Linked DNA regions of Sus scrofa. The protein of the gene in region 2 purifies or fractionates together with the protein of the main gene of each other region. This does not show direct contact. Links are inferred from orthologs where the notes say so. Each region holds a gene or a part of one and is shown on either strand. Other genes may lie near its edges. The genes, in order: SLMAP, ZRANB1, CTTNBP2, STRIP1, GCC2, MAP4K4 and STRN3.

Evidence for each region.
Region 1: the proteins of ZRANB1 (region 2) and SLMAP purify together in Homo sapiens (affinity purification with mass spectrometry; 3 studies listed by BioGRID and IntAct, with this or other methods). This does not show direct contact. The link is inferred for Sus scrofa from reciprocal best matches to the Homo sapiens genes ZRANB1 and SLMAP.
Region 3: the proteins of ZRANB1 (region 2) and CTTNBP2 purify together in Homo sapiens (affinity purification with mass spectrometry; 3 studies listed by BioGRID and IntAct, with this or other methods). This does not show direct contact. The link is inferred for Sus scrofa from reciprocal best matches to the Homo sapiens genes ZRANB1 and CTTNBP2.
Region 4: the proteins of ZRANB1 (region 2) and STRIP1 purify together in Homo sapiens (affinity purification with mass spectrometry; 4 studies listed by BioGRID and IntAct, with this or other methods). This does not show direct contact. The link is inferred for Sus scrofa from reciprocal best matches to the Homo sapiens genes ZRANB1 and STRIP1.
Region 5: the proteins of ZRANB1 (region 2) and GCC2 purify together in Homo sapiens (affinity purification with mass spectrometry; 3 studies listed by BioGRID and IntAct, with this or other methods). This does not show direct contact. The link is inferred for Sus scrofa from reciprocal best matches to the Homo sapiens genes ZRANB1 and GCC2.
Region 6: the proteins of ZRANB1 (region 2) and MAP4K4 purify together in Homo sapiens (affinity purification with mass spectrometry; 3 studies listed by BioGRID and IntAct, with this or other methods). This does not show direct contact. The link is inferred for Sus scrofa from reciprocal best matches to the Homo sapiens genes ZRANB1 and MAP4K4.
Region 7: the proteins of ZRANB1 (region 2) and STRN3 purify together in Homo sapiens (affinity purification with mass spectrometry; 4 studies listed by BioGRID and IntAct, with this or other methods). This does not show direct contact. The link is inferred for Sus scrofa from reciprocal best matches to the Homo sapiens genes ZRANB1 and STRN3.

Annotation. Positions count from the first base shown.
Region 1 is NC_010455.5:39,659,681-39,663,625, reverse strand, and holds part of SLMAP (sarcolemmal membrane-associated protein), read right to left. Parts: intron 2,434-3,945; coding exon 2,338-2,433; intron 2,056-2,337; coding exon 1,984-2,055; intron 611-1,983; coding exon 470-610; intron 1-469. UniProt on the Homo sapiens protein: Associates with the striatin-interacting phosphatase and kinase (STRIPAK) core complex, forming the extended (SIKE1:SLMAP)STRIPAK complex.
Region 2 is NC_010456.5:134,324,568-134,328,564, reverse strand, and holds the end of ZRANB1 (ubiquitin thioesterase ZRANB1), read right to left. Parts: intron 2,586-3,997; coding exon 2,367-2,585; 3' UTR 872-2,366; downstream 1-871. UniProt on the Homo sapiens protein: Ubiquitin thioesterase, which specifically hydrolyzes 'Lys-29'-linked and 'Lys-33'-linked diubiquitin. Also cleaves 'Lys-63'-linked chains, but with 40-fold less efficiency compared to 'Lys-29'-linked ones.
Region 3 is NC_010460.4:28,567,093-28,570,764, reverse strand, and holds part of CTTNBP2 (cortactin-binding protein 2), read right to left. Parts: intron 3,236-3,672; coding exon 3,134-3,235; intron 1-3,133. UniProt on the Homo sapiens protein: Regulates the dendritic spine distribution of CTTN/cortactin in hippocampal neurons, and thus controls dendritic spinogenesis and dendritic spine maintenance.
Region 4 is NC_010446.5:110,078,128-110,082,585, forward strand, and holds the start of STRIP1 (striatin-interacting protein 1), read right to left. Parts: upstream 2,891-4,458; 5' UTR 2,655-2,890; coding exon 2,475-2,654; intron 1-2,474. UniProt on the Homo sapiens protein: Plays a role in the regulation of cell morphology and cytoskeletal organization. Required in the cortical actin filament dynamics and cell shape. Part of the striatin-interacting phosphatase and kinase (STRIPAK) complexes.
Region 5 is NC_010445.4:47,727,690-47,731,634, forward strand, and holds part of GCC2 (GRIP and coiled-coil domain-containing protein 2), read right to left. Parts: intron 1,502-3,945; coding exon 1,325-1,501; intron 1-1,324. UniProt on the Homo sapiens protein: Golgin which probably tethers transport vesicles to the trans-Golgi network (TGN) and regulates vesicular transport between the endosomes and the Golgi.
Region 6 is NC_010445.4:52,509,798-52,513,742, forward strand, and holds part of MAP4K4 (mitogen-activated protein kinase kinase kinase kinase 4), read right to left. Parts: intron 3,411-3,945; coding exon 3,304-3,410; intron 1,667-3,303; coding exon 1,515-1,666; intron 662-1,514; coding exon 564-661; intron 23-563; coding exon 14-22; intron 1-13.
Region 7 is NC_010449.5:68,557,606-68,561,550, reverse strand, and holds part of STRN3 (striatin-3), read right to left. Parts: intron 3,672-3,945; coding exon 3,496-3,671; intron 3,320-3,495; coding exon 3,272-3,319; intron 2,723-3,271; coding exon 2,601-2,722; intron 1-2,600. UniProt on the Homo sapiens protein: Calmodulin-binding scaffolding protein which is the center of the striatin-interacting phosphatase and kinase (STRIPAK) complexes.

The DNA.
Region 1 (3,945 bases), on a different chromosome or scaffold from region 2:
AAAGACCTAGAAGGGGTCTTAGAGATAACTGCCCCTGTAAACCTCCAAATGGTGGTTTTCCTCTCTGGAGGATAGGTAAAGTAAGAATAGCGGAGTAGCTCTCTGCCTTACACTGACTAGCCTCAAATGGAAGAGAAACAAAACTACGTGAAAGAAGATCAATTCCCTGGCACGCATCATGGTCCATGGTGTAGAGGTTGAATCCTAACCTAAGCATAAACAGTAAAATTCCCAGGTTAGGCTTTTATTTCCTCAATTATGACTAGGGACCATAAGCACCAGAACTTACATGGTTATCTTAAGAATTCCTGAAAATGAAAACAGCATATTGCTCCTTCCTCCCAGATAGACAGGAAAAATTTCCGAGCTATATGCTAATACCCAAGTTTGAAATGTCCTGAAATGCTAGCAACTTGAGGCTAAAATTTTAAAATTATACTACTATTGAATATTTGTAAAATTTAAATACCTCAACTTCTGAAAGTTTTCTAACCACATCAATTTTCTCCTGAAGAACTCGCCTCAGGGACTCTTTGGCTGTTGTCTCATAGTTGTGTTTATCCTCCTGTAATGCTATAAGTTCCTTCCGTAAACTATCTTCTGTTTGATTCTAGGATTAAAAAATATTTATAATTATAACCAAGTTTTAATAACTTATAATTTGAAAAAATAAACATTGTTATGCTCTTTGACTTCTATATCAAGGTCCCTCCAAACACAAATTATGTTGGCTCTGTATAAATTGAAGCTGTATTTAAAAGCTGCATTAGTAAATTATACCTTCACAAACATATTAATTCATACTTCCAACAGGAAAAAAAAAAGTCAACATAAATTGAGAATTTCTCTCAAGCATACAATATGAATTAACTCTTCTATTTGCCATATTCTCTGAAAGCCACACTATTAACTTTTATGGGCAAAAAACAAAAAAAAACCTCTTATCTCTAAAGGGGCATTTTAAAACAATAATTAAACCCAAAGAAATAAGAGCATCCTGAGGAAAAAGCTGATTCCAAGTCTGAGGCAGGACATGCACAAGATGAGTCTGGAATATCTTGTCTGATATGACAGCAGGAAGCTATCAAAGTCTGCTACCAAAAGGAATCATGTGCCAACCTGAAGAAGTACCCATAGATGAAAGATGGGATCATTGGGACTCAGTAAGAAAAACAAATGGAAGAGGTTTAAACACATGAGATATATTTAAATCTAAGTTGGGGGCGGGGAATACTTCATTGGTCATTCTTTGGTTGATGAGAAGGAACCAAACCATTATTTTGAAATCCAGTAAATAAAGGGAAAATATCACTATCCTGGCTTTTCCTAAAAAAAGTTTACCTCAGGATAACAAAATGGTTTATGAGGGGAAGTTTCTCTTTAAAGAAGTAATTTAGCTAGTAAATGAAGGAAAGGTAGAATTACAATATCACCATTTCTGCAACCCTTAATAAAAGAAGGGATCTAGGAAAGAATAATCAAAGATCGCTAATATCTCAAAAAGAAAGATGAGATTTTATGGTGGCTTTTTTTTTTTTAACAACTGCACCTGCAGCATATTCAAGTTCCCATAGGGCTAGGGGTTGAATCAGAGCTGCAGCCGGGGCCCACATCCTCATGGACACTATGTCGGGTTCTTAACCCATTGAGTCATAATGGGAACTCCTCATTATGGTGCTTCCTGATGAAAGTATACAACACTATCCATGAAGGTTTTGACGAGAAAAAAAAAAAAAAAAAAGATTGTACGTAAATCAGAAGTGACCTAAATCTCTAGATCAAACTCTGAATTTATTGCATGGGAGGGAGAGCTAGAAGAATGTTTAACATTTACATGTATGCTTGAAATTTCCCATAATGATAGAAGATTTAAAAAGAGTGGTGAAGATGTATAATGTTTTTGCATGTATTCAAAATGACAAAGAAATGAAGCTATGTAAAAAACAATGCATTTTTCTTTATGTACTTGAGATTAATACTTACTTTGGAGCATGCCTGTAATTGGTTTCCCATAACTTCTAACCGTGATAAGAGTCTATCTTCATCTATTAAAGCCTGTTGAAGAAAAATCAAATATAAATAAAATCCCAGGGTAATTAAGAAATAACATATATCAAAAATGGTGCTACTGCCAAACAAGACATAAAAATCATAAAGATTACAACATCCACTTTAAAATGCAAAGTTTTCAATATTTGTTCATTAGGAAATAACTTTGCCTTTGATATAAAATTTTAGTTTAGTTTAATCAGTATCTAAAGGCCAGGCCAGAAAAAAAATTTAAAGGATATTAATCGATGCTTAAATGCTTCTTGAATATAAAGGTAACTGGAATACCTGCCAGCTGGTATCTGAAGCCTCTTGGGTGATGGCTAGTAGCCGCTGAAGCGTGGCTAACTTCTGTTCCAACATCTGTTCCCGATGTAAGGCCTCCTAATATTATAAATCACAAAAGAAATTCTAATAAACTCAGCAAGATTCCTCTGAAGAGTAATCAATTTTTTAGCACATTCTGAAAATATTCTCATATTACATCCTATTGTGTATCTTACTTTTAAATATGTTAAGTCAACTTTGTAAAATATATTTAGGTCGCATCATTTTAGCCTCATTTGTTAAGCTGTAAGTACAGTTGTTGGGGTACTCTAGCTGCAACTTCCAGTATAACAGAAAATAAGCCATCTGGTTTGCTTTTGTTTTTTACTTGTAATTCATAATAGGGAGTTAAAAACTAAAATCTTGAGTAGAAGGGTCCAACTAATTTTTTAACCTTGAATTTCATATACATTCATTTAAAAAACATGTACATGTATAAATATATATATGGAGAGAAAGAGAGTGCACTCAGAATAAACTCATTCCAAACTAAACCTAATCTTGTGAGCAGCAAAGATATTTCAAAATGGCTTAGCCACACAAGTGTGACATAAAAATACCTCTTAATTTTCCTTTTTAAAAGGAAAAAATACATATATATATATGTATATATATATATATATGTGCATATATAAAGAGAGACTACTTTATTCTCAAAGTCTACTGCATTTTCAGGTGTTCTGATTCTCTCTGTGACTGTTTAACAATTTGCCATAATCAAATACACCAAAAAATAACTAAGAGTCTACCAAGCACTAGTTCAATGTGATTATAGGGTCAAGGATAACTATTTGGTGGCTCCAAAGGAGTATTTTTACTGAAAAAAGACATTGACAAGCAGAACCTTATCTCTAGGTCACTTGTTAACATTTGATAGCAGTTTAAGAGGGTCTCCTTCACTGGAAATCAAGGTGAAAATGCTCACACAGCACTCAGCTGTGGTTGTGGCACATCTTTAAATTTCACTTTCTCCTATTCCTGTCATTATCCAAAGAATATTTACTACTCTACTCCCTCTAAGTTACCTCAACTGAGAAGTATATACTTCGAACACAGTACTTGAGGTTTAAAGCATACATTTACTCCTCTCCATATCCTTGATAATAACGATTAGGGAAAATTTCATCTGATTAATTAGAGGCACTGATTTTTAGATTAAGGAATCTAATAAAAGTCATATCGCCTCAGAACCCACATTAAAACACAGCTTACACACTTAAAAGGGCTAGGTGCCAAGTTTATCTTAAGCTTCTAAAACATTCCTAATATCCAGGAAATTAAAAATCACACTAATGCTGTAAAAAGTTTTACTTAAAAACAAAACCACCAAACACCCACTAGTTCCACTAGATGGTGTAATTTCACCCTTTTTACTCAATTCCATTTAGAGTTTTGTAACTCCACAAACCACATTCTAAGAGAAATCTAACACTTATGCGCTTTTAATTCTAAGACATGAAATGTATCTATTACAGAAACCATTTTACCTATATGAGCCCATATTTCTCACATGAAAAATGAATCTTAGTTTAATAAAGTTTTCTTCTACCTCTAAAAATAAGAGGGATC
Region 2 (3,997 bases):
CCTTAAACACACATTAAGCCTGCGACACAATGTGCCCAAAATGTTAACATAAAAAGGCAGGTCCAAACCCATGGCGCACCTGGGTTTTAATTAGAACAGAGAACACAGACAACTGTGCTGTCCCTAGAAAAGAAACGATACCGAAAGACAATTACCTGTCACCCTGCCACACATGAGGACTATACTCTGTCTTGGGACAATGGTTATGGCTGTTTGATAGTTCAAGAGCTTAACAAAGCATTGATTCACCCCAAATTTTGGCCTTTACCAGCCAATCCGAAAACCACTTAAAGTCCCATCCCTGTCCAGAGCCTAGGAAATGGGGTCACGTATAATTTTTTCCCACAGGGAAGAGAGCTGTACCTGCTAAACTAAATGTGGTCACTGACGCGTGAGTAAAGAAAGAGGCACCTCGGGGAAATCACAACACACACAGCCTCAACACTGAGCCTGCAGTTTTCTAGACAGCACGGACTGTCGCGCACACACTAGCAACTGATGCTCACGTGTTTCTCTTTGGCTTCTTCAACCAGGAGGGTAGTTGCTGAACACCAACTAGAGCAGGATGTCTGGCCACTAAAGAATTCCTCCCATATAACAGGAAAAGTCTGCTGTGCTAAAGTCAGAATGGCAGCCTCCTAAAACCTTGAACTATCCCAAATGAAAGCAAACCACAGAGTCAATTTGCAAGAAAACATTAGCCACTTGGAACAGTAACATACACCATTATTTTATCAAAATTCATTTATATGGACTCAAACTGCAAATCTCTTTCCTGCAAGTTTCAGCATACATCCAAAGCGACCCTTTCATCTTGGGCACACCTTTCAGTGAGTGTTCAGAGAGGAAAGAAAACTACAGACATGACATCTCACAGGTACTGTTCTCTTTTTAGTATTCCAGCATCAAATCTGAGGTTGTGCACACTTCAAAACCATCTAAACAGAACTTAGAAGAAAACATGTAAAGCAAGTATTTAAAGGTTTTCACAGCCTCTTCATCAAAGGGAAGGAAGAGTGTGTGTGTGTTGCGTGTGCTGTCTGTGTGGGGCGGGGGCGGGGGGGGGGCACATCAATAATCTACAAAGTGCGTATCAGGACACTACGTCTTTCTGTGTTCCTGAGATGGGTCTGAAACTTTTACCCAGTATTGAATGTATACCTGAAGTGGTCAAATAATACTTTATATAGAAAATTTTTCTACCTAAGACTAAAGTTTTCAAACTTTAAATAAGAATGGCCACAGTTAACCAACATGCAAAAATTCTCAGAATATTCACTGAGAAATTCATTATACAATGCGTTTACCACCTTAAACTGCATTCTTAAATCTTTATTCTCTACTGAACTAATAGTCCCAATTAGCCCAAGCAAAGGCATGCCTTTCTAACACGATTTGCTTAAAGCAGAGTTGATAAAAGACAGTAAGAATCCAAAGACCTTCTGTAGGGAAACTTGGGAGTACAACATTGTCTGAACAGAGTCAAGGGAGCAAATTTCGCACAACCCGTTCAGTTACTTGCGAGCAGGCCAGCTCCCCAAGCGCGCCCCCAGTTTATACCCAGGACTAACTGCTCACAAAGAGACTCCTGCCCAGAGTCTGGTGGAAGATCCCTCATTTTAAGGGCACTCTTCCAAACAAATAAATACCTAAATACTGAAAAGGGGCATACCGGAAAAACCTTAAAAACACAAAATAATAGAAACCAAAACGCAGGAACGAGGTCTATGTGAATGCACTCGATAAGCAATTCTTAACTTTCCTTACAGTCTGTTCCTCAAAGATTCGATTTTATTTTATTGGGCACAACAGGAACTAAATTATTAATAAAATAAAAGCTTGTTTTTATTTTTCTGTTTTGCTGTGGATAATTTGTACAAAGACGTTCCAAATCTCCAGCGAGCTCTAGCGAGACGTGATGGACAATGGGTCTCTTAAGATGGAAGGAGAATGCCAGGTTCTACTTAAAGAAGAATTATCTCAAAGGAACAAAGAGTCACGTGCCATGTGCTTTTGGAGGTGCCCGTGCTGGAAAACTTCTCAATGACATGAAGATGCTGGTACGACTTTTCCTATCACACGACTTCTTACACAACCACATGCGTTACATTTATAGACAGATTTACAACTTGAAAGGAAAAAAGTTCTGTCTTAATAAAATTAGTTTTTTACAAACTGGAGTCCAAAGGTCTCTGTCTCCTCCTGCAGCAGACGCATCATCTCCGCCGGGTGTGGATCAGAAAACCCTTCCAAGCAGCTGCTGCCCAGTCCCTTCATGCCATGCCGTGCGCTCTGCCTGCAGCACCACACTGATGGTGGGGTCGCGACAGAGCTGGTACCTTGGTCTTCTGCTCCTGGGTTTGTCTTCACTCGTCTTCATCGTCTTCATCCTCCTCTCCGTCCGACAGGGAGGTACAGGGCCGGATCTGTCGGTAGCGGTCAAGCCACTTTTCTACCATCTGCGTGACCAGGGGGTGGTTTCGGCGCCGAGAGCTCTTCTGCATGGCGACCAGAACGCCCCCCTCAGTCACACAGCAGTCCAGCCACTCCCTGAGCAGTTTTTCTTGCTGTTCCTCGTTACCTAGCTTTTAGAGGAACGGGAAGAAAAGCAAAAATAACACAACAGATCAGAGACTAGATAGGAAATTTGGAGGGCGGGGGTCTTTTTATAAGTCCACACTCACAGCGTGCGCAAGTTCCCAGGCTGGGGGTCAAATCGGAGCTATAGCTGCTGGCCTACGCCACAGCAACACCAGATCCGAGCCGCATCTGTGACCTACACCCCGGCTCACAGCAACACCAGATCCTTAACCCACTAGGCAAGACCAGGGATGGAACCTGGGTCCTCATGGATCCTAGTTTCAGGTTCGTTTCCGCTGAGCCACAACGGGAACTCCCTGACAGGAAAATTAATAGACACCTACCAGCTCGTATGAGCAATGAAAAGGCCAGAGCAACAAAGTGTTTCAACATGGTTTCCTCCTATCATCACTTTTATGATTAAAACCCAGTTTCCTATGGTTAAATAGAAAAAACCACTAATGGGAAAATCCACAGAAAAACCTAGAGGGGAGAATAATCCGGTAATAACTTAATGTGTTCAATAGCAAAAATCACATGCTATCAAATAAACTGATCCTGGCAAAGGAAAAGCTAGAACGTTACAGCTTCAAACCAGACAGGCTAAGTTTATTCCAAGCTATGCAAAGGCTGAAGTTTCAAAAGTTTCTCAATCTCTTTCTTAATGCCGTGGTTATAACAGTTCTGTAAGAGTCCCTAGTGTATTAAATAAAGGACCGGTGACCTTACAGGAAGATGGGTTTTCTGAGAGTGCCCTTCACGTCTTCACACCTCCCTGCCCCCTCTACACCACCTTCCCCGCCGCACCTACGGCCCTCTCCTATGTGCTGCTCTTGCCCCACCACTGCCCAGGGTCTAGTCTCAACTGAGCAGCCAGGGTTCCTCTTCTGGACGAACTGGCTGTTGGCTCCCCAGCTCACCCAGAGTAAAAGCCTGAGATTTAAAAGACCCACTAACTGACTCCCAGCCCCCCCCACCTCCACCCCCACCTGTCTTATGCCCATCCTCGTAAACCACCTGGCCTGGCACTTCCCTCCACCAGGAGCTCTCCCCCCGGTGTGGCAGAGCTCCTTCCTCGTGCGGGCCTCGTTCAGGTGTCACCTCCTCAGCGAGGCCTTCCCGACACCCAGGGGCACCCCAAGCCCCACGGCCCCTCCGTCCCCTGCTCCATCTCTGAGCTTCCCCTCCTGAGCACTCATCACCACCCAGGCCAGGGACTCTGGTCTTCACGGCGTCACCTCCACCTAACACATCCCATACAGCAGCTCTGAAAGGTAAGTTTCAAAGCCTATCTAACCACTATTTATGGAAAATGACGATTACTTTGACCAAATTCAGAATTTTAAGTGGTAGTGCAGCTAACCACGCCTGAAAGACACCCTACGGCTGGCTCTGGCACAGCGCCGCTGCGTGAGGT
Region 3 (3,672 bases), on a different chromosome or scaffold from region 2:
TCTGGGTGTCGACATGTGACCTGAGCCAGTCCTTGGAGAAGGGAGGAGCACATGGAGAATCACTTGGGCTTTGGGAGGGTCACGGTCATTCAAAGGTGAGAATATAATGCTTCCTGGGCTAAATCCCAAAAGTTCCCTTTATTAAACATGTAAGGATTACTCTCAATACTGTGAGTATAAAGCTCAAAAAACATCTCTGGTTGGCACAGAAAGACATCACCCCTAAAAGAAGATTTAGTCATTTAGCATCAAAGAAATATTGTCACATCAGAGCTATTAACTCAATATTGAGCATTCGGGGGAAGAGAAGAGGATACTATAATCTCAGCTCTCTAAATGGGCAGCAGGGAGAAGGAAAAGAAAACAGGGAAGGGAAGAGGCTATGGCAATGGTTCTTTAAGGACTTGGACCTGTTACAGGTGAAGAGGAAAGAATTCCATGCGAAAGAGGAAGGGTAAAGACAGCTCAGAGGTAGGTGTTAGAGACAGGGCTCTAAGCTCGGGCTGCATGTAACAATCAGCAGGAAGCTTTTAAAAACCCCAGGGTCAAGGCTGCACCTCAGACCAATTACATTAGGACCTCATGTGGTCCAGCCACTGAGGATAAGGGGGAAAAAAAAGGAGGATTCATTATGCAACCAAAGATAAGAACTTCTGCTTTAGGGGGTTCCATCTGCATTTGCTTTAGGGGGTTCAATCTGCATTTTCATAAGAAGAAAACATTTATTAATATAGATACTATGTATTTATGTATACTTTTTTTTTTAATGTAGAAGGCTGGCTAACATTTTACTTAATAGACCCCTTGCTGGCCACTCAGGAGAAAGTGATTTCAGTTAACACAGAAAACCCTGACTTCTAAAGGGAATTACTTCCTGATAACAGAAGAAACTGGGCATCTAACCAAGAAAGGCTCACTGAGTTTATCAGAAGGATAGAAAAGACAGGAGCTTGTGAAGTTTCCAGAAGGCTCCCGAATGCCAAGAGTATTATTTCGCCCTCTGCTGGCAGGTTCTGAGAAAAACATGTATTCACCAAAGGCTAGTCCTCGGAATGTGTTGAGGGGGCAAAGAACAGGCAGCCCCTTATTGTAATACCCACATCAAACCACTCCATGGTTCTTTTTTAAGAGCCCAGAAGTGTGAAAGGCCCCTTTTTAAAACAAAGTTGTTCCAGGCTTATCCTACTTTCAGTACTATTTTTCATGGACAGTACCTTATTGTCACAACCCAATATGGCCATGTGGCAGAGAAAGGTACAAAACTGTCTCCATTAGACATTACACAACAGCAGCCACTCACTGAGTCAATATTTTTATATAGGAAAGTGACGGGGCCCTGTGGACAGAGAGTGGCTCATTGTGCCCCTTCCCAAGGACTATTCCACAAAGAATCCTCACGAGGGATCCTGGAGCCCCAAGAAATGTGTTGTGAATTACAGCTCAGAGGCAGCTCCGGAAAAAATACTTTCTGGCTGGAATTCACAGTACGGACCCCAGATCCCCTCCTTAGTCACGCTCCACACTCTCCAAATTATGCTTTCGCTGTGCTTCTAAACGGTTCCCCAGGGGTGGGGTAAGCAGACGTAATACAGAATGAGCCCGAGAGGGGTCATGCTCTTCTTCACAGATCCTCAGGTTATGTATTTTTTATTCGAGACCACGGCCCTGCCACAATTCCTCCCAACACACATAGCTCCACATGTAAATAATCAGGACCGAAACTAAGGAAGCAGAGGCGGCGGGGACCAGGGCCGGCTGGTGATCCGACAAAGATGGACAATTTAAAGTCTCAGCACGCTCACTTTATAATACTGCCCTCTGCACTCCTCCCCACCCCCCATCAGGTCTGTGTCAGCTGCCGGGGAGTGGATGAGAGCAGGATGTGAACTACCATCGACAAGGCTTGGTGAGCAAAGCACAAGTTACCACATGCCTCTTAGAAAATGTGCATCCTGGGAGTTCCTGGGGTGGCTCAGCAGAAACAAATCCACTAGTATCCATGAGGATCTGCATTCCCACCTCTGGCCTCGTGCAGTGGGTTAAGAATCCCGGGTTGCTATGAGCTGCGGTGTAGGTCACAGATACGGCTCAGATCCTGAGTTGCTGTGGCTGGGGTGTAGGCTGGCAGCTGTAGCTCCAATTTGACCCCTAGCCTTGAAACTCATATGCTGCGGGTGTGGCCCTAAAAAAGAAAAACAACAACAATAAAAATGTGTATCCTCACAAAATCACTACTGGGTAAGAGGTAGTTTTATTGTTTCTGTTCACCCAGAAGTACCACGCTGGGCCACCCCTCTCTTGGAATTTATTTAATCAATCCTGTAAGTTAATTTCAAGAGGTTAATCAACTTGATTAGAATCTTGACTCTTTGACATTCTGCTTTATTTTCATTTATTTATTTTATTTTTTTGTCTTTTTGCCTTTTCCAGGGCTGCTCTGGTGGCATATGGAGGTTCCCAGGCTAGGGGTCTAATCGGAGCTGCAGCCACTGGCCTACATCAGAGCCACAGCAACACAGGATCGGAGCTGTGTCTGTGGCCTACACCACACAGCTCATGGCAACACCGGATCCTCAACCCACTGAGCGAGGCAGGGATCGAACCTGCAACCTCCTGACTCCCAGTCGGATTTGTTAACCACTGTGCCATTATGGGAACTCCATTCTGCTTTGTTTTTAAAGGAAAATCTCTCACTGAAACGCAATGCATGATATGGCAAGTTAAAGTAAAACTAGAAGTGAGATTTTTAAACTTCGGTTTTCCAAAATGGTTCTCGAATGAAAGTCAATGTTTCATTTTAAAATAGAAGAGGACAGAAGTTCCATTAGTTTCAGTTTTGGCATAAACTAATGAAAACAAATGGAAAAGAAACACCCCCAATTTTGGAATCAAAATTTTTTCAGCATTTAAATATAAGGAAAACCAAGTAATGCTTTTCTATGTGATTATTTCAAGCTGTTATCCAAAGAGCAAAGTTTCTAAACTTGATTTCCTCATGAATGCTTCTACCCTAATCCTGTTCATTTCCCAGTGAGGGTTTTTAAAGTAACTTCGTGATGGCATATTGAGAGATTTGTGAAGTCAATTCCACAACAATCCTTTGTCCCATTTTGGAGGGAGAAGGGGCACTTACCTCTTGTGACACTGGCATTCTTGGATTATTAACAGTTGCTGAAAATGCAGGATTATTTCCCGAACTATCAAACCTCCTTAAATCATCCCTGGAATCAGCAATCTGGAGAACAGAAAATTGACCATGATTTCAGTTGCACTGTGACACACTCAAGGCAAGACTTAAAGTCACTGTGGCAAACTCACATCAGAAGTGTGAGCCTCTCTTACTGTCAGAAGCTCTATACAACAGACCCCCAGGTCCTGTGACTTTAAGCCTTGATGTAAAACTATTAGCGAATGCACGAAAAACAGTCTTTTTAAAAGTCTTTTAAAAAGTCAGAAGATGATAACCTATTAAAAAAAAATCACTTGGCAAAAAATAAAAGGATATAAAATTTGCAAGATTTTCACTGTTACCTTATTTTTCCAGTGGTTAAGTATTTCGACTCATTTCCAGCAAGGCTAAATAAGCTACTCAATTCTACTTTGTCCAGAGAGTTTGATTGTCCAAATACAACAGGTGAGTCTCTGGTTGGAAAGTACCCAAGTTATAACTAC
Region 4 (4,458 bases), on a different chromosome or scaffold from region 2:
CAGATTCCTTAAGAGCAAGAACTTTGTCCATTTTGCTCACCAATGAGTCCACAATGCCCAGCATCCTACTGGGCATGAACAACGGACTGAATGAATAGTTCACACCCAAATAACTACTTGTTGGAGGAATGAACACTAAAGCTTCCGTGTAATCTGTGCGGTGAAATGACCATCCCACATGGTGCTCAGATTTTGGAAGCGTCATTCCTTCTAGCTAGTGACCTATCCATAGCTCAGGACTATATGAGTATACACACCCTCAGCCCTCCTGCCCTTCTCTCAAATTTCAGTGAGAACTGACGGAGAAGACAGCAGCTGAACAGAAATGGCTCCTTCCTCCCACACGCGGGAGAGGAGGTGACAAAGAGAATCTTTTTACTGCTGGGGATAGGTCACTAGCTGACAACACACCATCTTGGAAGCCATGTTCCGGGAAAAGAGAAGAGATGAAGAAAAAGGCAGTCCTCAGGCTTGATTACAATTGACCTGGGAAGATAAAGACCACTCGAAAATGATGTAAAACACCCACAAACACTGACTAACACGAAGAACTCCTTATTGGGGCCAAAGAGTGCATGTTCTTTCATAAGTTACTGAGCTTCAGTTTCTTCATTTATGGAATGAGGATGACAAAAAAATCTATCATGAAGGTTTTTTTAAGGACTAATCAAAATTGTGTAGCACACAGTGGGCTCCCATCAAATGCCTCCCCCCGGGTCCTGCAGGCACCCCTCAGGTTCCCAGCCTACTGATTTCAGCTAAGACACAACAAAGAGTGGCATTAATATCTGTAAGAAACAGATTTAGACAGGTCCCTCAGCTTAAATGTGTTCACTAACCTTGTATGTGTTGAGTCTACATGGAAATTAAAGGTTAGAAAGAAAAATTCGAATCCATCAAAGTGCATTTAATGGCCACTTAGGAAATTTTTTAACTATTTAAAAACTAGGGGGAGTGCTTGTTGTGGCTTGGTGGGTTAAGAACTCATAGTATTCATGAGGATGCAGGTTCGATCTCGATCCCCGGCCTCACTCACTGGGCTAAGGATGGGGCGTTGCTGCAACCTGTGGCATAGGTCGCAGATCTGGCTCAGATCCTGCATTGCTGTGGCTGTGATGGAGGCATGCATCTGCAGCTCGGATTCAACCCCTGGCCTGGGAACTTCCATAGGCCACAGGTGTGGCTATAAAAAGGAAAAAACAAAAACAAACCCCACACTAGAACTCCTCTTCTGATGAAGGTGGATTATTCATTACCACTTTCAAAATCCTCCATCCTTGAAAAATTATTAGGAAGTCCCCACTGACGTCCAATCAGCCCACCATGCCAGGGCTACTAAAAGGTCAGTTTCATTGCCTTTTCAAATAACTCACCTCAAGCTCAAAGTGTATCTGACTGGAACTTGCCAAATTTTGATGTTTTACCAGAAGATTGCTCATGCAACAACACCCAAGAGCTTGAGAGGAACTGATTTCACAGGCCCAAAGACGGCATCAGCACTCTGCAATGAACTGGTACCTTATGCCTGGACAATGCAGAATTCCCTCTCATTAATAATAATAATAAGCACCTGACTGCTAATCAGCCTCGGAGTCGTCTCAGGTGAAGGAGCCCTCACAGTAAGGGCGCTGGCAATGTGCTGATTAAGAAGCCTGAAACGCTGCGACGTGTGTGTCTTCATTCATGAATTCTGCGATGGGAGGCAATGGGAGTGTAATTCTTTAATGCGGGGTGAGCTCCAAACTACGGTGTCTCCGAAAGGGGGGGAACAACCCACTAGCAAGAACGGAGGGAAAGCGGCTTCCTAACGCGTGTTTAGATAAACATATTTTTCATCTTTAATAGGTCAGCATCGGGCGCACTGGGCACACCAACCACCAGGCATTGTCAAACCATGGCCCGAACCTGCAGTGGCTAAGGTCAGAGTGGACAGGACTGTTTCTCCCTCCTTCTCTCCCCACCTCGGCGCACAGTACATCGGTGCTAATTAGCTCAGTCCGTCTTCGAGGTGCCTTCCAAACCCTCGCCAGTCTCTTCCCTGCCCACACACACCCTTCGCCGCCTTGCGCTGCGGAACCCGCGGGACCAGAAGCCAGAGACGATTAGGGGGTTGGGGGTGTAGCCGCGCTGCCCTCTGGAGCGCACGCAGACCACTGACTCTTCACCCTTGAACTGGGGGCAGGGGATGGAATCCCCAGAGGCCTCGCCCACAGCCCCGGCCGCAGAGGAGCCTAAGAGCGGACATAGGCTCCAGAAGGGTTCTACCTGGCGGCGGAACTCGGGGAGGGGGACCCCGGTTTCAAGTCTCCCGCCCCGGGGATGCCAGCTTTGCGTCCTGCTCCTTTCGCTGTTAAACAAGCAAACAAACAAACAAAACCTCCTCTGCCGAACCCGGCCCAGCTTGAACCCGAGAGCGACCCCGGCCCCAGAGCCTCCGCCCGCCTGGTTCGAACCTCGCCCCCCGAAGCTCCTACCTCCGAGTCTTTGCGCTGGTTGCGGTTGAACTCTCGGGCTTTGCCCCCGGGCAGGAGGCCCCCGCCGGCCCGCGGTGCCCCAGGCGGAGGCTGCGCGACTGCGGGCGGCGGAGGTGGAGGCGGCTGGGGCTGCTTGTTGTTCATGATTAGAGGACCGGGACCGCCGAGTGCCGGCTCCATCTTGGCTGCTCCACACCCCCGGCTCGGCTCAGTTCAACGACAGTTGCTGCGATGAAACTCTCGCGTGATTTCCTCCCGGAACGCTCCCTGATCGCCATATTAAGTGTGGCGGCAAGTGCCGGAAGCCATCTTGGCTGCCCAACAGTTCGCGATATTTCTTCTATTTGCCTTCCTATCCTCCTCTGCCCCTTTGGTTTTTACTCTGTGTGGGTCCCAGTTTAGAGGTCTTTTTATCTGCGTAGCCCATAAACCCCTTAAGTCAGTTTAGGCCTGCCCAACTCCTGCCTTCACCATCTCTTTGCGCTTGTCACTGTTACAGCCCTGTTCAAAGCTTTGGAGATATGAACAAAATGGACACAATTCCAGTCTTCATGGCGTTTCCATGGGGGGAGAGGTGCGAAAAAAATGAATAAATCAATAAAACAATTACAGTTATGGCATTCATTAATCACTTATTCATTAGACATTTAATGGATATCTGGTATGCTCCAAGCATGTGATAGAATGAGGAACGAAATCAAATGCCTGCACTAACGGTACATAACACAGTGTCTAGTGGGAGAGACGATGTGCACACAAACAAACAGATTAGACAAGTAAGCTCTGAGAAGAAACAAAAAGAAGTGTAAGGGGGAGTTCCCTGGTGGCCTAGCAGTTAAGGACTTGGCTTTGTCACTGCTGTGGCTCCCGTTCGATTTTCTCTGGCCTAGGAAATTCCGCATGCCGGTAGCTGTGGCCTACATAAACAAACAAATAAATAAAATTTTTAATTAAGGGGAAAAAAGAAGTACAAAGGATTCAAAGGTGGTAGTAATAGGGGCGGGGAAGTGTGGCAGGGCTATAATAGGTAGGCTGCTTAAGAAAGGCAGGCCTGAGGGTGAGATTTTGTTTTCGTTTTTTTTGTCTTTTTGCCATTTCTAGGGCCGCTTCCCGTGGCACCTGGAGGTTCCCAGGAGTCTAGGGGTCGAATCGGAGCTGTAGCCACCGGCCTACACCAGAGCCACAACAACGCGGGATCCGAGCCGCGTCTGCAACGCACACCACAGCTCAGGCAACGCTGGATTGTTAACCCACTGAGCAAGGGCAGGGATCGAACCTGCAACCTCATGGTTCTTAGTCGGATTCATTAACCACTGCGCCACGACGGGAACTTCAAGGGTGAGATTTTGAATGAGTTCTGAAACAAGTGAGGGAGAGCCACCCAGATCCACGGAAGAAACACAGGCAGAGGGACCAGCTAACTGCAGAGGCTCTAAAGTGGTGTGGTACAAAATGAGAGAAACAGGGGAAGAATAGTAGGAGATGAGGGCTGGGTAAATGCAAGGGCCAGAGAATTAGAGGGCCTTGAAAAGCACTGACAGGACTTTGGATTTTATCCTACGGGAAATGGAAAACCATCAAAAAGTGTTTACCAGGCAGGTGTCATGGTCTGATGTTGAAAAGACCAGTCTGGCCGCTTTTGGAGAGGGATTGAGAAATTGCAAGAGTAGGTGAGGACACACAGGTTAGGAGACTATATAAATGGAAATGATGATGGCTTATATCAGGATGGAGCAGTGGTTTGACATGGTATTTCTATACTGTGTAGGTAAACTCAACAGGATTTGCTGAAAGGCTGGACTACTATCAGCCAGATAGAGAGGAATGATGGATGAGTCCTAGATTTCTGGCTTGACCAACTGGGTAGATGCTTATATAGCTTATTTAAAAAAAAAAAAAAGGCTTAGTATTACTTATTAAAATAGAGAGGCTGGGAGAAAGGAAAGCAGGTTTAGGGAGAAGATCAAGATGTCTGTTTTGGACA
Region 5 (3,945 bases), on a different chromosome or scaffold from region 2:
GCCTGGGTGGCAGCGCACACAAACACAGGATAAACTTGCCTTTTCCCTATCACCCTCAAAACATGAAAAAGGACACTTTCAATCATACAGAAAGCCCTGGAAGGAAGTTCTGGCCATTTTGGAACCAATTAACATGAACCCCCAAAACAGACTTAGTTTTCTGCAGCTGCTTCCGGGGCACCTTGTCCAATGCAGGTTCTCCTCCCAGAGCCACCGCATGAGAAAACCGAAAGCAGGGCTGGCAATTGGCCACTTTTACTGTAGTCCACCTGACACTGACTGGGGAATTGCTAGCTTTAATGATTCACTTAGAGTGTTGATATATCTGACTTAACTATAGTTAAGTAAGATAAGACTTATGATTTTATATATCTGACTTTGGTAAAACATCATTTTTCTTTTTATATAAGTATACTCTTGGAAATTCAAACAATATGGAACCAATTACAGAAAAAACAAGAGCCTTCTTTTATCCACTCCACCCCTGCAATATGAAGTCCAGCTCTTGGGGGAAAGAGCCCAGCACAGAGCTCTCTGAGATTTTTCCTATGTGCTACAGGGGAGCACATGATACAAAGTTTTAAATAAGGCTGAGTGGCTAAAGGGAGACCTGCAGTAAAAACACAATGTTTCAAAAGAGGTGTCTTAATTGCCAAGGTCACAGATGGATGACTTTAGATTCTCTCTAGCACTTTGTTCAAACAACACCCACCGACAAGTAAAGGAAGAGCTGGTGGCAGCGACAAGTCTCTATGGAGGATAAAAGCTACGGGGAGAGCTTAAGGGGCTTCCAGGCCTCAAGCGACGGCAGGGACAGGATTGCCTCCATGAGCCCCTGCCTAGACTGCTGCTCTGTCCTCAGGGCAGCTTGGGTGTCGGCCGAGCGACTCCCCCAGAGTTACCTTTACAGTCTCCTACAGAGAGAGCAGGGTTATTAAGATGTTTAAAAAAGAAGAGGCTGGAGTTCCTATCAGGGCTCAGTGGAAACAAATCTGACTAGTAACCATGAGGACACAGGTTCGATACTGGCCTTGCTCGTTCAGTGAGTTGAGGATCTGGCGTTGCTGTGGCTATGACGTAGGCTGGCAGCTGTAGCTCCGATTCAACCCCTAGCCTGGGAACCTCCATATGCTGCAGATGCAGCCCCAAAAGGCAAAAAAAAAAAAAAAAAAAAAGGCAAAAAATTAAAGCAAAATACAGAACAATCCCAAAGGGGGAGCTTTAAGGTAGAAGCAGCAAATACCTACATCTACCTTTCAGCCTGCATCTTCCCCAGCGCACATGTGCCTTGCAGACTGGTGTCACCGTGCCGCACCCCCCTTACTTTTCCCGGAGCTCAGCCTCCTTGGACACGGTCTCCTGCAGCAGCCGGCTATTCCTCTCCAGCAGGGCATCATGCTCAGACTGCAGTGCCTGCAGTTCAGAGACGTGGACCTGCAAGTTATTTTGAGTGTCTTGTAATTTGATTTTCAGTTGGTCAATCAGCATTTCCAGATGTTCTCTAAAATAGAAAAAAAATAGTTCAACAATTTTTTTGGAAAGACAGACATTTCATTGTGTGGTTTCAAATAAATTTGACTTCAATCACTTAATTATTCTTGCCATTACTGTGGATGATTTTAAAGGAAGTATAATCAGTATAATGCTCACAGAATAGAATTAAATGTGAAATAAAACATGCTATAGTCAGACTTTAAACCTCAGACACTACATATTTATAAGTCTCTGGATTTACAAATTTCGATATTTTTTTTTGGCTTTGTTTTTTTAATGGCTGCACTCAGCATATGCAAGTTCTCAGGCCAGGGACTGAACCCGAACCACAGCTGCAGCAACACTGGATCCTTTAACCTACTGTATGTGGCCGGGGACCAAACCCACACCTCCGCAGTGACCCCAAACTGCTGCAGTTGGATTCTTTTCATTTTTTGTCTTTTTAGGGCTACACCCCTGGCACATGGAGGTTCCCAGGCTAGGGGACAAATCAGAGCTGCAGCTGCCAGCCTACACCACAGCCATAGCAATGCCAGAACCATATCTGTGATCCACACCACAGCTCATGGCAATACTGGATCCTTAACCCAATGAGCGAGGCCAGGGATTGAACCCGTGTCCTCATGGATGCTAGTCAGATGCATTTCCCCTGAGCCACGACGGGAACTCCCTGAAGTTGGATTCTTAACCCATTGCACCATAGTGGGAACTCCAAGCAGACCAGTAAATGGCATCAAAATGGTCTACTTTATATTATGTGACTATGTCATTAGTTAAAAAAAAAAAAAATCATGCAGTTCTAAGCTAAGCATTGTGAAATCAGCACATTACACCATGTTACAGTCAAAGAAAGTCTTTGGAGAAAAACATTTAAAACCTATAATTCTGCCACAAGTGATACAATACACTTTTTTTTTTTTTTCAGTACTTAATAGGGAGATCCCATCATGGCTCAGTAGGTTAAGAACCTGACTAGTATCCACGAGGATGTGGATTTGATTCCTGGTTTCACTCAGTGGGTTAAGAATCTGGCATTGCTGCGGCTGTGGTGCAGGCCTGCAGCTACTGCTCTGATTCATCCTCTAGCCCAAGAACTTCCATATGCTGCAGGTGCAACCCTAAAAAAAAAAAAAGTACTTAATGTTAAGAAAGTAGGAAGAAATTAAAACATTTACATTAAAATAACTTTAACTCTGGGAGTTCCCACTGTAGCTCAGCAGAAACGAACCTGACAAGTATCCATGAGGACGCAGGTTTGATCCCCAGCCTTGCTCAGCAGGTTAAGGATCTGGCACTGCAATGAGCTGTGGTATAGGTCGAAGACTAGGCTTGAATCCTACATTGCTGTGGCTATGGTGTAGGCCAGCAGCTGTAGCTCTGATTCGACCCCTAGCCTGGGAACCTCAACATTCCATATGCCTCATCTGTAGCCCTTAGGAAAAAAAAAAAAAAAAAAGCAAAAAGATAAAATAACTTTAACTCAAAATTCTGGCATGATCAAAAATGACTCACAAATGGTAATACTTTTATTAAAAATTTTTACAATTTATTTTGTTTTTAAAATTATTTATTAATTTATTGACCACACTCAAGGCATGCAGAAGTCCCCAGACTAGGGATTAAACTCAAGCCACAACAGTGACAATGCTGGATCCTTTAACCCGTTGCACCAACAGGAACTCCCCTAGTGGTTTTTTGGTTTTGTTTTTTTGTCTTTTTAGGGGCCTACCCACAGCATATGGAGTTCCCAGGCTAGGGGTCAAATCGGAGCTGTAGCTGCCAGCCTATACCACAGCCACACCAACGTGGGATCCAAGCTATGTCTGCGACCTCACAGCTCACGGCCCGATCAAGGCAGGGATCAAACCCATGTCCTCATGGATGCTAGTCAGATTCGTTTCTGCTGAGCCATGATGGGAACTCCAGGTAGTATTTTTATAATAAATGTGTTGATATTTACCTTCAGCTTTAAGATGAGCTACTGACAGAAAACAAAACAAACAAACAAACAAAAAAAACCAAAAAAAAACTTTTCAGCCTACAGTTCCCCTGTATTAAGTACTTAAACATGAGGTTTGACAAAGCATAAATGCATAAACACTGCAGGCCATCCAGTCCTACTGAGAATAGTAAGAGCCAGATGTAACGGTTTTGCACACTGAGCCTTCATTGATAAACAACACACGAAGTTCTGAATAAGCACAAAAGTCATTTGTAAGCAGTTACTACTGAAACAGTATGCCACTGAGATGGTCCTAAGTTTAAGAAGAAAAATTTAACTCTAGATAAAATTGAAAACTTTTTGGGAGTTCCCGTCGTGGCTCAGTGGTTAACGAACATGACTAGTATACATGAGAATGCGGGGTCGATCCCTGGTCTCCCAGATACGGCTCAGATCTTACATTGCTGCAGCGCCGATTTGACCCTTAGCCTAGGAAATTCACATGCTTC
Region 6 (3,945 bases), on a different chromosome or scaffold from region 2:
GAGGCGAGCTTACCACTTCGCCCTGGAGTCAGCGGTGGTCCAGGGAGCCAGAGAAGCCAGCGAGGATGAGGACACGGCACAGGAAGCATGGAGGAAGGGGGGCGGGGGGCAGAGAAATCAATGCAGGCAGGAAACAAAACTCCAGCAGGCCCAGAACCCCGAGGTGCACAGTGACAGGTCAGCTACGTGACAAGGACTAAGGACAAGTTCAAGAAACAGGTGCCACTGCCGTGCTCACCAAAGAACAGAATAAAGCTCCGTGAGCCGAAGCAGGTGATGCATTTACTCTAGAAGTGGGTACTTTAGAAGCCCAACTCATAGGAACCCATGTAACGGTGGATGCTAAGCAAAGAGAAAGATGGATTTTCTTTCGTTTGTGTTTTCAGATCATTAAAGGGTGGTCGAGTGGGGACGGGAGAGTTTAAGGTTTCCAGTTTATGCCCTTATCAGCCCTCTGATCTGCAGGGCCCTCAGAGGCCCTCGGGCCTTGCAGCTACACGGCTTTAACAGCAAGGCCTCACTCAAGGTGGAAATAAGCAAAACTGACTTTGTGCAATTCTTACAGCAGGCTTGAGAGGTCTCAAAACTTCTTTTTTATCTTCAGGCTTTTTCGCTGCATTTTCCAGGCGCTGAGATGGAGAGCCTTCAGACTTGGATGATGCTGTCAAGTTTGGAGACAAGAATGGCAGAGACACATAAACCTCTTGAGCATGGCCCCAAAGCCGCCCAGCCCACCTGGCCCGCCCTCTCCCCACCCATCAGCCCCTCACAGCAAGGTCTCCACTCTCGCGCCTGAACCCTGGGGCTTCTGACTCCTTACACAGAATCCGCCACCATCCCACAGCACGGTACTGCTCATGGTACCTTGCTGGACCATGTCAGTGACAGAGGAGATGAAACTGTCTCTAATCTACTATGACGAGTAGGTTAAAATAATGACTATTAAGGACAATCCTGATGGAGTTTATACTGAAAAAGAGTGGGTTCAAAGCTCAGCGTGGACACTGAACCAATCACCTTGGACGAGTGGCCCAATCTCACTGAAGTGCAGTTACTGAATCTGTAAAATGGACACAATGTACACCTCTCTCTCCTGGGGTTATTATAAGGATTAAATGCAAGAACACATGAGACGTGCTCGAGTGCTCTCCAAGCTTAAGTCTTCATTATGAAAATTATGGTGATGTGCAGGGTCATTAGCAAGCCCACACTGGGTTTGTTATATGCAGCTATGCAAAACCACAGGGCTTCTCCTCGATTGAAAAGGATTTCCAAAATACGGTCAACCCTTGAACAACACAAGTGTGACTTCACAAGGTCCACGTTTGCACAGGTATTTTTTTAACTGTAAGTAACTAGCCCTACAGGGTCCACAGGTGGTGGGATCCACAGGTGCAGAGGAACGAGGCTGACAACACAAGAGGATTTCCAGCTGCTGGGGGGGGGGGGGGTCCCCTAACCCGCACTGCTCAAGGGGCCAGGTGGCAGGGAGGGGGAGCAGGAAAGGCCCCTACATCTCACTCTGAAGCGCTCCCCGGAGCCGCTCTGAGACCCGGGGTGGGACCCAGGCTGGGATCCTGAGTTGCTGGACCCCGAGGAGCTGCCACTGCCAGGCCTGGGCACCAGCTTCTCCACTCTCTCCCACAGCAGCCGGGGCTCGATACTGCTGTCAGGGAAGAAGAGGAGAGAACAGCTAAGGCACTGCCCAAGGTGAAGGGTCAAGTGAGGCAGACTTGTGCACGATGTCCTCACATGGAGGAAGGGTGGGAACACCGGCCACCAGCAGCATGTGTCACCGAACCCACCAGAACTTACAGCCACATTGTCTACCCATCTTATCTCAGGTATCTAAACAAGCCAAAAGAGCTGAAAGACATCCCACCCTGAGAGGAAACGCTACTGTTCGGTCTGAAGTGTCACTATTTCTGTCACAGCTACAAACTCAGTTTCTTTCTTTCTTTTTTTTTTTTTTTTTTTGTCTTTGCACCTGAGGCATATGGAGGTTCCCAGGCTAGGGGTCAAATCGGAGCTGCAGCAGCCGGCCTATGCCACAGCCATAGCAGTGCAGGATCTGAGCTGTGTCTGCGACCTACACCACAGCTCATGGCAATGCCAGATCCTTAACCCACTGAGCAAGGCCAGGGATCGATCCCGCATCCTCATGGATGCTAGTCAGGTTTGTTAACCAATGAGCCATGACAGGAACTCCCAAACTCAGTTTCTTATTATAAAAAATCCCACTTGGGTAATTGCACAACTCTGATCATCCCCAACACCTGTCACCGCTGCTCTCGAGAACTGACACCGTGCGACATCCTGCTTCCTTCCCCACAAGCTAGGCTGGAAATGTGACAGAGCCATGGACACACCACAGCTGTCCTCCGTGGTGGAGGACATGAGTTCTCCAGGTAAGAACTAGGCAAGAACTGACTCAGGTGCACAAGAACACATGGCCTACCCTGGAGAACCCAAGGTCCACCCTAGAGAACCACGGCCCACCCAGCAGAACCCGAAATCCAGCCTGGAGAAGCCACGGCCCAGCCTGGCCACATACAGACTCGGAAGGCTCTCTTGGTAGCTGCTGGCCACCACCCGTTCCACTACCTCAGTTATATGAGAGACCCTGTAAAGAAGGCTACCTTCGGAGGCTCAGTGGCAATCAGGGAACACAACATTCAACTGGACCAATTCTTCCTCTGAAACAGACTGGTCAGTGACTGGTCAGTGGAGCTTAACTGAGATGGTGGCCTTCTATGGCTGAGCTGGCTAATTCGGTCACCACAAGGTGAATGTGGTTCCTGAACACCTGGAATGCGGCTGGTGCAGCTCAGGCAGTTAATTTTATTTAATTTGAATTCAGTGAACCTCAAATCAAAGTGGCCTCGTGAAGAATAGAACTGAAGAATAGAACAGCTCTACGTGGTTAATTCACGAGTTAATGCGGAATGTAAGTCAACCACTGGCTTTTCTTTCATGGCCTGCGTGTGATGTCTGTACCACTCCCAAGGCCACCAACACCCTTTGGAGAATCAGCGCTGGATTACAGTTCCCCCTGGACTCCTGTGTGCCTCCTACCTACCCGCCTGACAGGGAGTTTTCACTTTAGAACTGCCACCATCACAATCGGATCTACTCTTCTCTTTTCACCACGGATCAGTCTGTGTTATGCATATCAATGGATTTGATGGTATTTTCTTTTAGAAACTGATCGTGTCTTTGCCCCAGAACCTCTGTGTCTCTGAGCACTTTTCTGCAAGCAGACAGTGTGAGACCATAGGAGTCGGTGCAGCGAACTCCTCTTACCTGGTGGAGTTCCTCTGACCTGCTTGGCTATTCTGCTGCCCACCGCCCTGCAGTGGGGAGTCCCGACGGGACAGGACAGGGGACCGGGACGTTGTTCTCACAGGAACCTTGGGGTACAAAATACAGCAGTTACATTGCTGCAAACTCTAGGGGGAGGAGAACAAAGACTTTCCCACCAAAACATACCCCCCAAGAGGGCCTAAGTACACCTTAGCCTTACCCTCACCTGGCCAGCCCCATCCCTCTCTGCCCTCCGCTGACACGCCAGAGAGAGAAAATGTAGTCAAAGGCATCGGGACAACCTTTCTGTGCTTCTGTAACATTTAATGAGGGTGGCACTGAAGCTTGGTAGCGGGGGACATACAAGGCATTTTGCTGAGATAATGTGAAAACCAGGAAAATAAGCTCAAAGAAACCAAACAATGGGCTACAAATGGATCAGCAGGAAACAAAGACTGTAGGAAGCAAGAAAATATTCAGAGGAAGCAAATTCCAAGTGGAGGAAAAAATAAATCAAAATGTGCCTTTGTGTTTCATTTCAGCCTTAGTTACCAAACCAAAAATAAAAACAAAATTTAAAAAACCCAAATAAAACCCCAAATCCCTCAATTTAAAAAAAAAAAAAAAAATCACTTTCTTTGA
Region 7 (3,945 bases), on a different chromosome or scaffold from region 2:
AAACTGAACTCACCATCCTTTATCTTCTCACACCTGTCTGTCCCCATTTCAATATGCTACCATCATATACTCAATTGCTCATGCCAAAAATGCAGGAGTGGTGACGAAAGTTCTGAAATAAACAGTGGTAATGGTTGCCCATCCCTGTGAATATGGTAAAAACTACTGAAATGTATACTTCAAAAGTGTGAATTTTATCATGTGAATTGTACCTAAATAAAGCTGTTAAAGAATAAGTCACTCATCCATCATTTCATCCACTTAATCCAATTTATCATATATTCTGTCTATTCCCCCCACCTCTCCAGCATGTCTTTTTTTTTTTTCTTTCATAATTGAGAATTTTATTGTTGTTTTGAGGCTTAGTACATGGACATTTCAATCCAGCATGCCTTAAATCCATTTCTCTCCAAGTGCTCTGCTACCACTGCTCTACGACCACTCTAATCTTGACAACATTATCTCTCACCTAATCTACTGGAATCACTGTTACAACTTTACATTAAATGACATTGATATTTTTTTCTCCACTCTTCCCACCCCCAATCTATTTTCCTTGCAACAGCAAGAGTTATCTTTTTAAATTCTACATTTATAGGACACTTCCTAGCTTAAAACTCTTTACTAAACGTTTAACTTTTATTCTCTAGATTTCAGCTTGAATGCCATTATTTTATTCTACATCTAAATAGGGTTCTGCCTGTTACTCTCCTCTCTTGGTAGGTATCAGTTATCTTCATACCATACTTCATACCATAATGTGTAACTATCCATCCCCTTGCTTATGTGTTTAAGGCTTATCTTTTTCTATTAGACTAAGTTTTCTTTCTTTCTTTGGTCTTTTGTCTTTTTTTTAGGGCCGCACCCATGGCATATGGAGGTTCCCAGGTTAGGGGTCGAATCGGAGCTACAGCTGCTGGCCTACACCACAGCCACAGCAATGCCAGATCCTTAACCCACTGAGTGAGGGCCAGGGAATCAAACCTGCAACCTCATGGTTCCTAGTTGGATTTGTTTCTGCTGCACCACAACAGGAACTCTTTTATTTTTTTTTAGGGCTGCAGCAGCAGCAGCAGCATTTGAAAGTTCCTGGGCTAGGGGTCTCACTGGAGCTGCAGCCTTATGCCACAGCAACACTGGATTTGAGCTGCATCTGCCAACTTACGCCACACCTTGAGGCAATGCTGGATCCTTAACCTGCTAAGCGAGGCCAGGGATGGAACCCGCATCCTCATGGATACTAGTCAGGTTCTTAACCTGCTAATAAGCTGCCAGGGGAACGCCAAGTCTTATTTCTTGATGTATGCTTAACACTACACCTGGCAAATTTAGGCCTCAAGTGTGTGTTAAATAAAAAGATCAAAGAGCTCGTGAATTCTTTTTAAATGAGCCAGTGATTAAGTAGACCACGATTTACTTAACCATTCTCGCACTAATAAACATCTGTTCCATTTTAATTTTTTTGATTATAAACAATTGCCCTTGTATATATTTTAATGTGTGTGCAAATATTTCTGTTAGTCAGATTCCTTTTTTTTTTTTTTTTTTTTTGTCTCTTTGCCTTTTCTTGAGCCGCTCCTGCGTGGCATATGGAGGTTCCCAGGCTAGGGGTCCAATCGGAGCTGTAGCCGCCAGCCTACGCCAGAGCCACAGCAACGCGGGATCCGAGCCGCATCTGTGACCTATACCACAGCTCACAGCAACGCGGGATCCTTAACCCACTGAGCAAGGCCAGTGATTGAACCCGCAACCTCAGGGTTCCTAGTCGGATTCGTTAACCACTGCACCACGACGGGAACTCCATCTGTTAGATTCTCAAAGTGGCATTTGTGAGTTAAAGCTATTGTTGCTTTGTCTTTTTAGGGCTGCGCCCGTGGCATATGGAAGTTCCTAGGCTAGGGGCTCAATTGGAGCTGCAGCTGCTGGCCTACACCATAGCCACAGCAACACGAGATCTGAGCAGAGTTTGTGACTTACACAGCTCACAGCAATGCCAGATCCTTAACCCACTGAATGAGGCCAGGGATAGAATCTGCATCCTCATGGTTACTCCTCAGCTTCGTTTCAGCTGAGCCAGAACGGGAATTCCAAAAGTTTTGTTTTCTTAACTAAGGAATTTTTTGGTCCTCTAAAATGTTCACTGATTTACACACTCTCATGTCTCTATTTGTTTTTATCATCTCTCACTAAATATTTATGAACTACATAAACTAAGTTTTAAAAACTGTTTCTTGTACTAAATGTTATTCTCCTTACCCATAATGGAAAAGATTCTGAAAAAGAATGTGTGTGAATATGTGTGTGTGTGTATGTGTGTATAAAAAACAGAATCGCAAAAAAAAAAAAAAAACAGAATCGCTGTGTTGTATGCCTGAAAACTAGCACAATATTATAAATCAACTATACTTCTTGCAAGATAAATATTCATGGCATTGTATTTCTTAATTTTTCTCTTTCATAAAGCAAATTGCTAGTAAATCAAAGTACTATTACTAGTAAATGAAAAGACCAATGTATCTTTAAACGATCTTATAATAGTTGAGGTAATTATTTTTGTCTGCTCCATCCACTTAAAAAAATATCTTGAGCCTTTTACTTACCATATGTATCATATGGATCCACATTAGGACTAGGCATATTCCACCACTGGATAGTTGCATCAATACCACCACTAAAACACTGTTCACCATTAGAACTAATAGCTAATGATAGAACAGGACCACTATTACAGAAAAAGAGGAAAACAATTACTTACAAAGACTAAGAAGAAACTCATATCTGCATCCCCCCAACCTTTCTCTAAATTTATGTGGTACCTAAAACAGTTTAGATAAACACATACATTTGAACAATACTGATTATATTCTTACTACACAATTATTAATCGAATGAAATATTAGTCAATTAATCTATCTTTTCTTTTTTCTTTTTTCCTAGGGCCACACCCAAGCATATGGAGGTTCCCAGGCTAGGGGTCTAATCGGAGCTGTAGCTGCTGGCCTACACCATAGCCACAGCAACGCGGGATCTGAGCCGCGTCTGCGGCCTATATCACAGCTAATGGCAATGCCGGATCCTTAACCCACTGAGCGAGGCCAGGGATGGAACCCACAACCTCATGGTTCCTAGTCAGATTCGTTAACCACTAAGCCACGATGGGAACTCCCTCTAATTTAAAACAAACATGAGAAAATTGCAAGGCTTCAAGATCGACAAATAATAGTTAACAAGAACTATGATTGTTAATTAAGTACTAATTCAAAAAACTTACATGTGGGCCCTAAATGTGTAGATAGGCTCTACATCTAAAGAGGCACTCCTAAAAGAGGGGAAAAAAGGGGGGGGGACAAATAATCGTAAATCAGTGGTTGATATTCAAGAGTCACTAGGTAAGATCAAACGAGTGCATAAAAGACACAGGACCATAAGAAGAATATTGCTTATAATTAGCAAATTTGGAAGGAAAAAACCACAGGTTAACATTAAAATACTTGCTTTTTGGCAGGAACTGTTTTTTGCAAGTTCCAAAGTTTCAGAGTATGGTCCTCAGAGGCAGTAACCAGCACAGGTTCTACAGGATGAAAAGCTAATGCTCGTACTCCATCGAAATGGCTACGTAGTGTATACTTGGGGTTCCATGTCTTTCGAAAGGCATCTTTATTGGCAGGCAACTAAAAAGAAAGAGCACAATATTTAGTGGTAAAAGTAGTTAACTGATAGGCATGTGGAGTTTTTGTTTGTTAGGGTGTGTTTAAAATACATATTCAAAACTGCTTTGTTAAAATTAAAATGTCCAGTGGAAATTTAATGTACCTTAAAAACTACAACAAATCTTTTGTCATTTAATAAGAACTAAAAAGAATCATTTCATTAGCTTGCAAATACCTAGTCAAATGAAGAGCTCCTTACCTAATTAATCATCAGGCTAAACCCAAAGTCCTATTA